2 linked regions of the Saccharomyces cerevisiae S288C genome follow. The main gene of each other region encodes a partner of the protein of the gene in region 2 in a complex. Each region holds a gene or a part of one and is shown on either strand. Other genes may lie near its edges. A codon is read from its position in the direction of its gene.

Evidence for each region. The genes of interacting proteins can lie anywhere in the genome.
Region 1: the proteins of HSE1 (region 2) and VPS27 are in contact, whole or in part, in a crystal structure (PDB 2PJW), measured with the Saccharomyces cerevisiae proteins. Residues at the interface, in NP_011861.1 of Saccharomyces cerevisiae: Val292 (codon at 2,647), Phe293 (codon at 2,650), Gln295 (codon at 2,656), Lys296 (codon at 2,659), Ile299 (codon at 2,668), Asp300 (codon at 2,671), Leu302 (codon at 2,677), His303 (codon at 2,680), Leu306 (codon at 2,689), Asn307 (codon at 2,692), Ala309 (codon at 2,698), Ser310 (codon at 2,701), Ser315 (codon at 2,716), Asn316 (codon at 2,719), Leu319 (codon at 2,728), Tyr328 (codon at 2,755), Val331 (codon at 2,764), Thr332 (codon at 2,767), Arg335 (codon at 2,776), Val338 (codon at 2,785), Met341 (codon at 2,794), Leu342 (codon at 2,797), Tyr345 (codon at 2,806), Ala346 (codon at 2,809), Glu348 (codon at 2,815), Lys349 (codon at 2,818), Met352 (codon at 2,827), Leu353 (codon at 2,830), Leu355 (codon at 2,836), Arg356 (codon at 2,839); in NP_014403.3 of Saccharomyces cerevisiae: Asp349 (codon at 2,726), Leu350 (codon at 2,729), Lys355 (codon at 2,744), Ile358 (codon at 2,753), Tyr359 (codon at 2,756), Phe361 (codon at 2,762), Ala362 (codon at 2,765), Val365 (codon at 2,774), Glu366 (codon at 2,777), Met368 (codon at 2,783), Lys369 (codon at 2,786), Ser370 (codon at 2,789), Arg371 (codon at 2,792), Asn374 (codon at 2,801), Leu377 (codon at 2,810), Glu378 (codon at 2,813), Gln383 (codon at 2,828), Ala386 (codon at 2,837), Val389 (codon at 2,846), Phe390 (codon at 2,849), Lys393 (codon at 2,858), Leu396 (codon at 2,867), Asn397 (codon at 2,870), Ala399 (codon at 2,876), Leu400 (codon at 2,879), Lys403 (codon at 2,888), Ala404 (codon at 2,891), Lys406 (codon at 2,897), Tyr407 (codon at 2,900), Thr409 (codon at 2,906).

What each region holds. Positions count from the first base shown.
Region 1 is NC_001146.8:635,305-639,354, forward strand, and holds VPS27 (ESCRT-0 subunit protein VPS27), read left to right. Parts: upstream 1-1,681; coding exon 1,682-3,550; downstream 3,551-4,050. Other genes in the region: SWM2 (Swm2p), read left to right, coding at 639-1,079; ATG3 (Atg3p), read right to left, coding at 3,878-4,050. UniProt on the Saccharomyces cerevisiae protein: Component of the ESCRT-0 complex which is the sorting receptor for ubiquitinated cargo proteins at the multivesicular body (MVB) and recruits ESCRT-I to the MVB outer membrane.
Region 2 is NC_001140.6:100,839-107,273, forward strand, and holds HSE1 (ESCRT-0 subunit protein HSE1), read left to right. Parts: upstream 1-1,773; coding exon 1,774-3,132; downstream 3,133-6,435. Other genes in the region: sphingosine N-acyltransferase LAG1, read right to left, coding at 1-1,045; 60S ribosomal protein eL14 RPL14B, read left to right, coding at 3,439-3,567, 3,966-4,253; oxysterol-binding protein related protein OSH7, read left to right, coding at 5,217-6,435. UniProt on the Saccharomyces cerevisiae protein: Component of the ESCRT-0 complex which is the sorting receptor for ubiquitinated cargo proteins at the multivesicular body (MVB) and recruits ESCRT-I to the MVB outer membrane.

The sequences.
Region 1 (4,050 bases), on a different chromosome or scaffold from region 2:
ATATTGGCGCTGTAAATTCTTCACTTGATTAAGATTTTCTGTAATGATCTCATCTCACAAATACATCGCAAATCAACTTGAAAATTTTTAATACAATAAAAGATTTGAAGGAAAAAAAAAGTGCCTGTGCGCGATGTTACTTAAAAACAAAAAGATTAAATAATTGCAATATCATCTAGTTGGATTCTAAATATACTACCAAACAAGGGCTTAAACATTTTAATAAACGATTTACATATTTACTGTGGGTATGGCAATGGGTGAGCGTAGGTATGCTACGGTAGGCGATGTAGTGAGTAGTGCGGACGAACCGTAGCCGTAACGTTTAATGCCCCCTGCCTTTTCTTCTCAATTGCTCACATGTAAGCAAAGTCTTCCAAGAATCTGGTTTTACTCGTAGCCTTTTAACGCTGTTTTTTTTTTTTGCACACCTTTAAAACCTATAGAAACTCCTTCATATAAAATGTACTAGTTATAAGATGACTTTTTATATTCAAAATTAGAAGAAAACTTAACTAAAATTAAAAAAATAGCGGCTATTAAAAGGTATTAAAAAGTGAGAAAAAAAGAAAAAAATTATAAACTTGAGAAATCAAAGGAGACTAAATGCATAAGCAAAGAGAAGAGGATCTCCTCGGATGATAGATTTATACAATTACTCTAACTTAGAAGGTTTACTAGACGGATTAACGGACTTGAATCGAATTCCGAAGGAATACTCCGCAGTATTGGAGCCATATTTTCAGAATATAGCAAGAAATGCACATTTAAAGTCTAGAGCTCTAAAAATTTGTCGTTCTAATTTCCATAAATGGAACGAAGAAGGTGCGAAGACAGTCAATCCGGAAATTATAAGAAGATGCCTTAACCTGTGGTATGTTTTGAAGGGCAAGGAATATAAAAAGTTGAAGGATCCTCCGCCTGCTGATAATATCATTAAGGATGAGATTGATGTCTCATATGTTAAGAATTTGAATGTAGTCAGGTTGGAATTTGACGAATTTGGTAAACTCATAAGTAATCCATTAGAGAATTTGATCTTGGAAGAGGTCGAAGTGAATGATTTCATACAAGAATAAACCTAAAGTGTGTTCACTCATCTAATATGCACGGAGCCTACCTTTTAGCTTTTGCTGCCAAACTAAACCAAGATTGAAAGATATATAATCGACTATCTTTCGTCTCGTAATCTGTATCATGCAATTTAAATTAATTATCAACATAAAATGCTCTAGTTAGCACGCGCATATCCAGGAAAGTTCACCAGTAACTATGTACTAGACAAAAGCAAACTGTTCGGAGCGACCATACACCATATGTTGTTGAATCAACTTTTCTTAAGGCTCTTTCGAGTTCATCATTAACCAACCTAGGTATTTTCCCGATTTTTTGGTAATATGTCAAAACAGCTACTTTGTATACATTTATAGACGCCTGGTGTCCTTTGAGCCTCACTTATATAAAGTAACCTTCACAAGATTTTGGATTTTGGTAATACATACGCTACTGCTATTTCTTGCGGAGCAGCAGAATCATCTTGCTCGGCCTCCTTTTCTGAAAATTTCGATGATACCTGAAATAATCATCATTAGCAGAGGGAATTTAAAAATAGAGGGTGTAAAATTATCAAGATTTTTTTTTGCTAAGGTGAATGAGTAGTGAGTAAAGAACTAAGAACAGTATGTCCGTTAGCACGCCAAGTGAGTTAGACGCATTAATAGAACAAGCCACTAGTGAGAGCATTCCCAACGGTGACCTTGATCTCCCCATAGCGTTGGAAATTTCAGATGTGTTAAGATCTAGAAGGGTAAATCCCAAAGATTCTATGCGTTGTATAAAGAAAAGGATTCTCAATACGGCCGATAATCCAAATACCCAATTGTCTTCCTGGAAGCTTACCAATATATGTGTAAAAAATGGTGGAACGCCTTTTATTAAGGAAATTTGTTCCAGAGAGTTCATGGATACCATGGAACATGTCATTTTAAGAGAAGATAGCAACGAAGAACTTTCTGAGCTGGTAAAGACCATATTATATGAACTATACGTAGCCTTCAAAAATGATTCGCAACTTAACTATGTGGCAAAAGTTTATGATAAATTAATCTCTCGTGGCATTAAATTCCCTGAAAAGCTAACACTTTCCAATTCTCCGACTGCAATGTTTGACTCGAAGACGCCCGCAGATTGGATTGATTCTGATGCTTGTATGATTTGCTCCAAAAAGTTTTCTCTACTAAATAGGAAACATCACTGTCGTTCCTGTGGTGGAGTTTTCTGCCAAGAACACTCATCAAATAGTATACCCTTACCTGATTTGGGTATATATGAGCCAGTCAGAGTATGTGATAGCTGCTTTGAAGATTACGATTTGAAGAGACATGACGACAGTAAAAAATCTAAAAAACATCGCCATAAAAGAAAGAAGGACAGGGACTACTCAACTCCTGAGGATGAAGAAGAGCTGATAAGGAAAGCAATAGAACTCTCCTTGAAAGAATCTAGAAATAGCGCTAGTAGCGAGCCTATTGTCCCCGTTGTAGAATCAAAGAATGAGGTGAAGAGACAAGAAATAGAAGAAGAAGAAGATCCTGATTTAAAAGCTGCTATTCAGGAAAGCTTGAGAGAAGCTGAAGAAGCGAAGCTACGCAGTGAGCGTCAAAAAGCCTCTAGACAGATGCAACCCCAACAGCCATCACCTCAACCTCAACCTATCCATTCCGTTGATTTATCTGATGAGGAGAAAGACAGCATATACATGTTTGCTTCACTTGTCGAAAAAATGAAATCGAGGCCCTTGAACGAAATTTTGGAAGACTCTAAATTACAAAACTTGGCTCAAAGAGTATTTGCTTCCAAAGCAAGGTTGAATTATGCTTTAAATGATAAAGCTCAGAAATACAATACTTTGATAGAAATGAACGGCAAGATTTCGGAAATTATGAACATATACGATAGATTATTGGAGCAACAGCTACAAAGCATCAATTTGTCTCAGCAATACACACTTCCACAAGTCCCTTCTGATCCGTACAATTACCTAACAGAAAATGTGCAAAATCCAGCAGAAAGCTATCAAACACCTCCCCTCCAGCAACTATCATCTCATCAATACAAACCACAACAGGATGTCTCACGCCAACAATCGGTAAAAGCAAATTCATCACCTACCACTAATATTGATCACTTGAAAACCATCGATGTGACACCACACGCACAGCAAAAGCCTCAATCGCACGTTGAACTTGCACCTTCGGACCCACCTTATCCAAAAGAAGAGGCCGAAGATGAAGGAACACAGGCAGTGCAAGATGAGGAATCCTCCACACAAGAATCCCGCGAAAGGCCGTATCCAGTAGAAACAGAGAATGGTGAAACTTCAATAAATAAACGGCCTCAAGGCATTACACGTTACGATTTTCCAACTGTTCCTGCACGCAAATTCGTCCAACCGGAGTCAACTGTACCACTTCCTGCAAGTTCCTCTGAAATTCCGATCAAAGAGGAAAGGCCGCCTAGTCCTCAAGAGGAACTGCTAATAGAGCTTTAATATTGTAGCCTTTTCTATGTATTTGTAAAAAGAAACCTAGCGCTTATAAATATATACATACATATATATATAATTGCTTGTTACGCAACTTATACATATTTCTGTCATTAAACTAGTTTTTAAGGTGAATATTCATAATTTATGTCAGTATTAACATTGAAACCGTCAAAAAAAAAAGTATCAATATAGACAAAGGAAGGACCATTTTAAGAAAGTGGTTTTAAGGAAGAAACTTGTTCCTGCATATTTATAGTTAATTCCTATCTTCTTGTTTATCCTGTTTTTTGACCACCTGGCTTGCAGCTAATAGTGAAAAAACACAAATTTTTACCAACCTTCCATGGTATAGTCATGTTGTATACTCGGTGTAACACTAGTAATAAACTTTAAGAAAACAATCAAGTATTGGTCTACCCGTAACGAATCATCAATATCGTCTTGTAAATCCTCCCAGTCTCCGACACCGTCCAGCTCTTGTTCTTCCTGCAGCTCTTTCCTTC
Region 2 (6,435 bases):
TGTATTGTTGTGTGGCAAAATTCAACACATAATTACCTTCATGACGGAATTCTGTTAAGACTGACCATAATATTCTGATATTCACGACATGGCGCAGATAGATCCAAAAGAACACGAACAAGCCGAACACAAAGGGAGTAAATACAGAATTCAGATAGTTTAATGTCTTAGACAAAGAAAGGAAAAAATCTGACACATCCATAGTAATATAGATAGCCAATCCCATTTTGGTAAAATGGAAAACATATGATGACCAAATTAATAATAATGTCACAATGTGATGAAAAACCAATTCCTTGTAATCCTTTCTTGGCTTTTCTAATTGTAGAACAAGAACACAAGCCTGTTGCGCCCAAAATGCCGCTTGACCCAAGTAAAATATCTTAAACAAGAACGGATTGGTTATAACAGGATATGTTCTGTACATTGGTTTTGTCTTGAACAACCACAAATCACTATGGTACATAATATAAAGACCAAAGGGCCCTGAAACTCCGCAATAAAATATGGCATACATTTGTTCTAGCATACGCTTTTGACGATGCTCGGAAGTAACATTTAGGTATACCGTGAATGGTCGAATTACAACATCCATCAAAAACTCACGTAAAAATGTGAAGAAAATCATGTAGAAAAACACAAAACTCAAATCTTTGATACCTTTTGCATATGAGTCTGTGCCATCAACTTGATATGATATGGCTACGAACATGTGCAGCGGGTTTGATTCTGTTCTATTCCCAGATAAAAAGTACGCGCTATACACGCATACAAGTATGAAGAATGGTGTCAACCAACTATGACGGTAATTCATTTCTCTATATGAAAACCAAACCTTCCACAGTAGGTCACTATCCTTTTTAGAGTCACCAGTCAAGGCTTTCATCCTTTTTTTGGCCTCATTTTTAGAGGCAGCACTTTCAGGCATGGCTGCAAAGCCAGGAACTGTATCACCTAAATCAATTTTACCCACGGAAGAGTTTCGTCTTCTTGTTTTTGCATTAACAACTAACCTATCGATAGATTTGTCCGTAGCTGATGTCATGTTGTCGTTATTTCTTCAGTTTCTCTGTATCTTGGAGTTCACTCTCAACACTGTCTAATATACCTTGCCACTTTAGATAGACAAGCAGTCAGATCAATTGAGACAACCTTACGAAATCGTTTGGCAAATATCTTGACCTTCTTAGTACAGGGCTGCAGTTTTCCTTGCCTTGTTTGTCAAGTGATAGCGCGTAAAATGTTGATGCTGCAATTTGCTTTTCCCGCTAAAAAAATGGAATTTTTTCATCGTTTTTCACTACCCCTGGGCTGCCCTCGGTCAAGAAGGATTTCAAATGGAAGATGACGCATTAGGTAAGTTTAAAGCGTTAAATTCTCTATAAAAGGGATCTCTATTTACCTGTAATATACTATCGATATTAGTCTTGACGGACTGGGGTGTCCCTGGTCATAATACCCTAAAGGAAAAACGACTACGACCTTTGTCGGTCTAGCCGAAAGGTGTTTATATTTATGGAATCAGCAAGTGCAGGAAGATAGCAGGCTCTAAGATTGATTCAAAAGCTAAACCCTACATTACTGCCGCAGAACTTCGGTAGCCTTTGTACGTAATTATATACATTATTCTAATGGTTAACCTCATTTACCGTTATTAGTGATTAGTTAAGAAATTCGAATTACATAAATGAAACGCAATGGATTCTAACTGTTAAATATAGGGGCCATGCCAGAGGCAATGCGTAAATCTATCTAAGGAAACCGTTGACAAAAATGTCATCATCTGCGATTAAAATAAGGAATGCACTGTTGAAGGCAACAGATCCCAAGTTGAGAAGTGATAACTGGCAATACATTTTAGATGTTTGCGATTTGGTGAAGGAAGATCCCGAAGATAATGGACAAGAGGTTATGTCTCTTATAGAGAAGAGGCTAGAACAACAGGATGCTAACGTGATCTTAAGAACCCTCTCTTTGACGGTATCTTTGGCAGAAAATTGTGGTTCCCGCTTAAGACAGGAAATTAGTTCAAAAAATTTTACCTCTTTGTTATATGCGCTCATCGAGAGCCATTCTGTACACATTACTCTAAAAAAAGCGGTGACTGATGTTGTCAAGCAACTGTCTGATTCATTCAAGGATGACCCATCATTACGCGCCATGGGAGATCTATATGACAAAATTAAAAGAAAGGCTCCATATTTGGTACAGCCTAATGTACCAGAGAAGCATAACATGAGTACCCAGGCAGACAACTCAGATGATGAGGAATTACAAAAAGCACTAAAAATGTCTTTGTTTGAGTACGAAAAGCAAAAAAAGCTACAAGAACAGGAAAAAGAAAGTGCCGAAGTCCTTCCGCAGCAACAGCAGCAGCATCAGCAGCAGAATCAAGCTCCTGCTCACAAAATACCGGCACAAACCGTTGTGAGAAGAGTTCGGGCTCTATATGACTTAACCACAAACGAACCGGATGAATTGTCCTTTAGGAAGGGCGATGTTATTACAGTGCTGGAACAAGTATATAGAGATTGGTGGAAGGGAGCTCTTCGAGGAAATATGGGTATATTTCCATTAAATTATGTAACACCGATTGTTGAGCCATCGAAAGAAGAAATTGAGAAGGAAAAAAATAAGGAAGCCATAGTATTCTCTCAAAAAACTACCATAGATCAACTTCATAATTCGCTTAATGCAGCTTCTAAAACGGGAAATTCAAATGAAGTTTTGCAAGATCCTCATATTGGAGATATGTACGGATCTGTAACGCCTTTGAGACCTCAAGTTACGAGAATGTTAGGTAAATATGCTAAAGAAAAAGAAGACATGTTATCCCTGCGTCAAGTCTTAGCAAATGCAGAACGCTCATATAATCAACTAATGGATCGTGCAGCTAACGCACATATCTCACCACCAGTTCCAGGCCCTGCACTCTACGCAGGAATGACTCATGCTAATAATACTCCAGTAATGCCACCTCAGAGGCAGAGTTACCAAAGCAATGAGTACTCACCTTACCCTTCTAATTTGCCAATCCAACATCCTACGAATAGCGCAAATAATACCCCACAATACGGTTATGATCTTGGATATTCAGTTGTTAGCCAACCACCACCTGGTTATGAACAATAGCCCTTCAACTTATATAGCACCTTTACATATCTTTAATTTTTACGAAGAGCATTTTATTCAACTTTTGTACCTTTAAAGACGGTTTTCAGCCCACACATTTTTTGTTATTTTACACCACACAGTAAAACTTTCTTGCTTTTTTTTCTTGAGACTCCCCGACCATTGTTCGATATTCCAATTTTCGCAATCTTCAGAAAAGGGTATCCTAACATTCTAAATTAATAATAAAGAAGAGAGGCTACAAGCATTTATTAGTGTGAAGCATTTAAAGTAACTTCAGGAAATAAACGCGCAAATAAACCAAAAATGTCCACTGATTCTATTGTTAAAGCCTCCAACTGGAGATTAGTCGAAGTCGGCCGTGTCGTTTTGATCAAAAAGGGTCAATCCGCAGGTAAATTGGCTGCTATCGTTGAAATTATCGACCAAAAGAAGGTATGTTGAACCTAAAACCCACCGTGGACAAACTGAGGAGGAAATTGTAAGGAAGAGAAAGTCCCCGTATGTTCAGGGACCGCCAACGACTTCCTGATTCATGCCTGAATAGTGAAACATGTTAAACAATGAGTAGATGCTGAAATATGCAATGGGACAGAGGGCCGGAGATGTTTCTATTCTTTTTTTGCATAAACAACAGTGAAATTTCTACATATTTTGTTACTGGCAAACTCCTTCCCTGGCAGTTAATAACTCCCATACTTAAGAAGATAACTTCAGCACATGTAGCCATACCTCCTCAATTGCCAAATAATCTTTTCCTGTTTTCAAAGTATTTCAATTTACTAACAACTTTTATGAATAATTTTTTAAATTATTCGTTATAATTACTATAGGTTTTGATTGATGGTCCAAAAGCTGGTGTCCCACGTCAAGCCATCAACTTGGGTCAAGTTGTCTTAACTCCATTGACCTTTGCTCTACCAAGAGGTGCTAGAACTGCTACCGTTTCTAAGAAGTGGGCTGCTGCTGGTGTTTGCGAAAAGTGGGCTGCTTCATCTTGGGCTAAGAAGATTGCTCAACGTGAAAGACGTGCTGCTTTGACTGACTTTGAAAGATTCCAAGTTATGGTTTTAAGAAAGCAAAAGAGATACACTGTCAAGAAGGCTTTGGCTAAGGCTTAAAAAAAGAAGAATAATTCTAAAATCCATAGGTAAGTACTGAAAGCAATTTTGCGTTCCGTCAATGCATATTATATATATTAATCTTAACCATTTATGTAAACAACATATCATTTCATTTTGTTCTGGCCACATTCCCTGTTCCTCTCAATATAGTGATGTTTTATAAGGGATATTCTTTGCGGCTCCATTATAAATACACTTTACCATGAGAGTTTCCTCACCAGCTATATTACTCGCGCCAACTACCATTCGACGCAAGGAACAAAAAAGCATCTAGATAATAGTAGAGAGGTGGTGATACACCCTCAGGTTGCTATGACGATATATTCTCCGTAAATTCTTTCTTACGATTATTCCTTTAGATCGGCAAGAGATTTGGGCTTGAGGAAGCGATAAAATTCTTTGTTGACAAAACTCTCCCTTAGTGCTTGTGAAATAAACATCAATAATCATTTTTTTATTTTTCGCGTTTTTAAGATAATGTCTTAACCAATTTTCTAAGTTCGGAACACAAAACCCAATGTTTAATCATTTTTAATAAACAATTTAGTATATATATTATTTTAATTTTATTAAATTAATTAAAATTAAAAGAATTATTAGTCATGTGATTACCATCCTACTTATTATACTAAATCGTTTTGTGGATGTGTAATTGTTGGAGTTCTTCTTATCTACTTTTTAACTTGTGTGTAATTAGAGCTGTACATTCAAGGTAAGGAATGTAATGCACCAATGATTACCTAAATCAAATTCGAAATATGTATCAGTATATTATAGGAATGTTAATTCGCTCGTGCGTACTAATTTTTCCGAGGTCACTCGCAAATCCAGAATTCTAAAGGATGAAAGTATATTTTCTGAAATCGTCAACAAAGAAGGGATGTGATATATTCAAAATGGAAAGATTCCTCCTTCTTTCATTTAGAAATAGGAAACTAACCAGTAAATTAGAAACAAAGAATGGCTCTCAATAAACTAAAGAATATACCTTCTTTAACAAACAGTTCTCATAGCTCAATTAACGGCATTGCATCCAATGCTGCAAATTCCAAACCAAGCGGAGCAGACACGGATGATATCGATGAGAATGATGAATCTGGGCAAAGTATTCTATTAAATATTATTTCCCAGCTGAAGCCAGGTTGTGATTTATCTAGAATCACACTTCCGACATTTATTCTGGAAAAAAAATCGATGTTGGAGAGAATCACTAATCAATTACAATTCCCAGATGTTCTTTTAGAAGCACACTCCAATAAAGACGGGCTGCAAAGGTTCGTTAAAGTGGTAGCATGGTACCTAGCAGGTTGGCACATTGGGCCCAGGGCTGTGAAGAAGCCCCTAAATCCCATTCTTGGAGAACACTTTACAGCTTATTGGGATTTGCCTAACAAGCAACAAGCCTTTTACATTGCAGAACAAACGAGTCACCATCCTCCTGAATCTGCGTATTTTTACATGATTCCAGAATCGAATATTAGAGTTGATGGAGTTGTTGTGCCAAAATCGAAATTTTTAGGAAACTCAAGTGCTGCAATGATGGAGGGGTTAACTGTATTGCAATTCCTTGATATCAAGGATGCAAATGGTAAACCAGAGAAATATACTCTATCGCAACCAAATGTTTACGCAAGGGGAATTCTGTTTGGCAAGATGAGGATTGAATTGGGAGATCACATGGTCATTATGGGTCCTAAGTATCAAGTGGATATTGAGTTCAAAACAAAGGGCTTTATTTCTGGTACCTATGATGCAATTGAAGGTACAATTAAGGATTACGATGGTAAGGAATACTACCAAATTAGTGGTAAGTGGAATGATATTATGTATATCAAAGATTTGAGGGAAAAAAGCTCTAAAAAGACTGTTCTCTTCGATACTCATCAGCATTTTCCTCTAGCTCCTAAAGTCCGCCCATTGGAGGAACAGGGAGAATACGAATCGAGAAGGCTTTGGAAGAAGGTTACGGATGCGCTGGCTGTACGTGACCATGAAGTAGCTACAGAAGAAAAGTTTCAGATAGAAAACCGCCAAAGAGAGCTGGCCAAAAAGAGGGCCGAAGACGGCGTTGAATTTCATTCAAAACTATTTAGAAGGGCAGAGCCAGGTGAGGATTTAGATTATTATATTTACAAGCACATCCCTGAAGGGACCGACAAGCATGAAGAACAGATCAGGA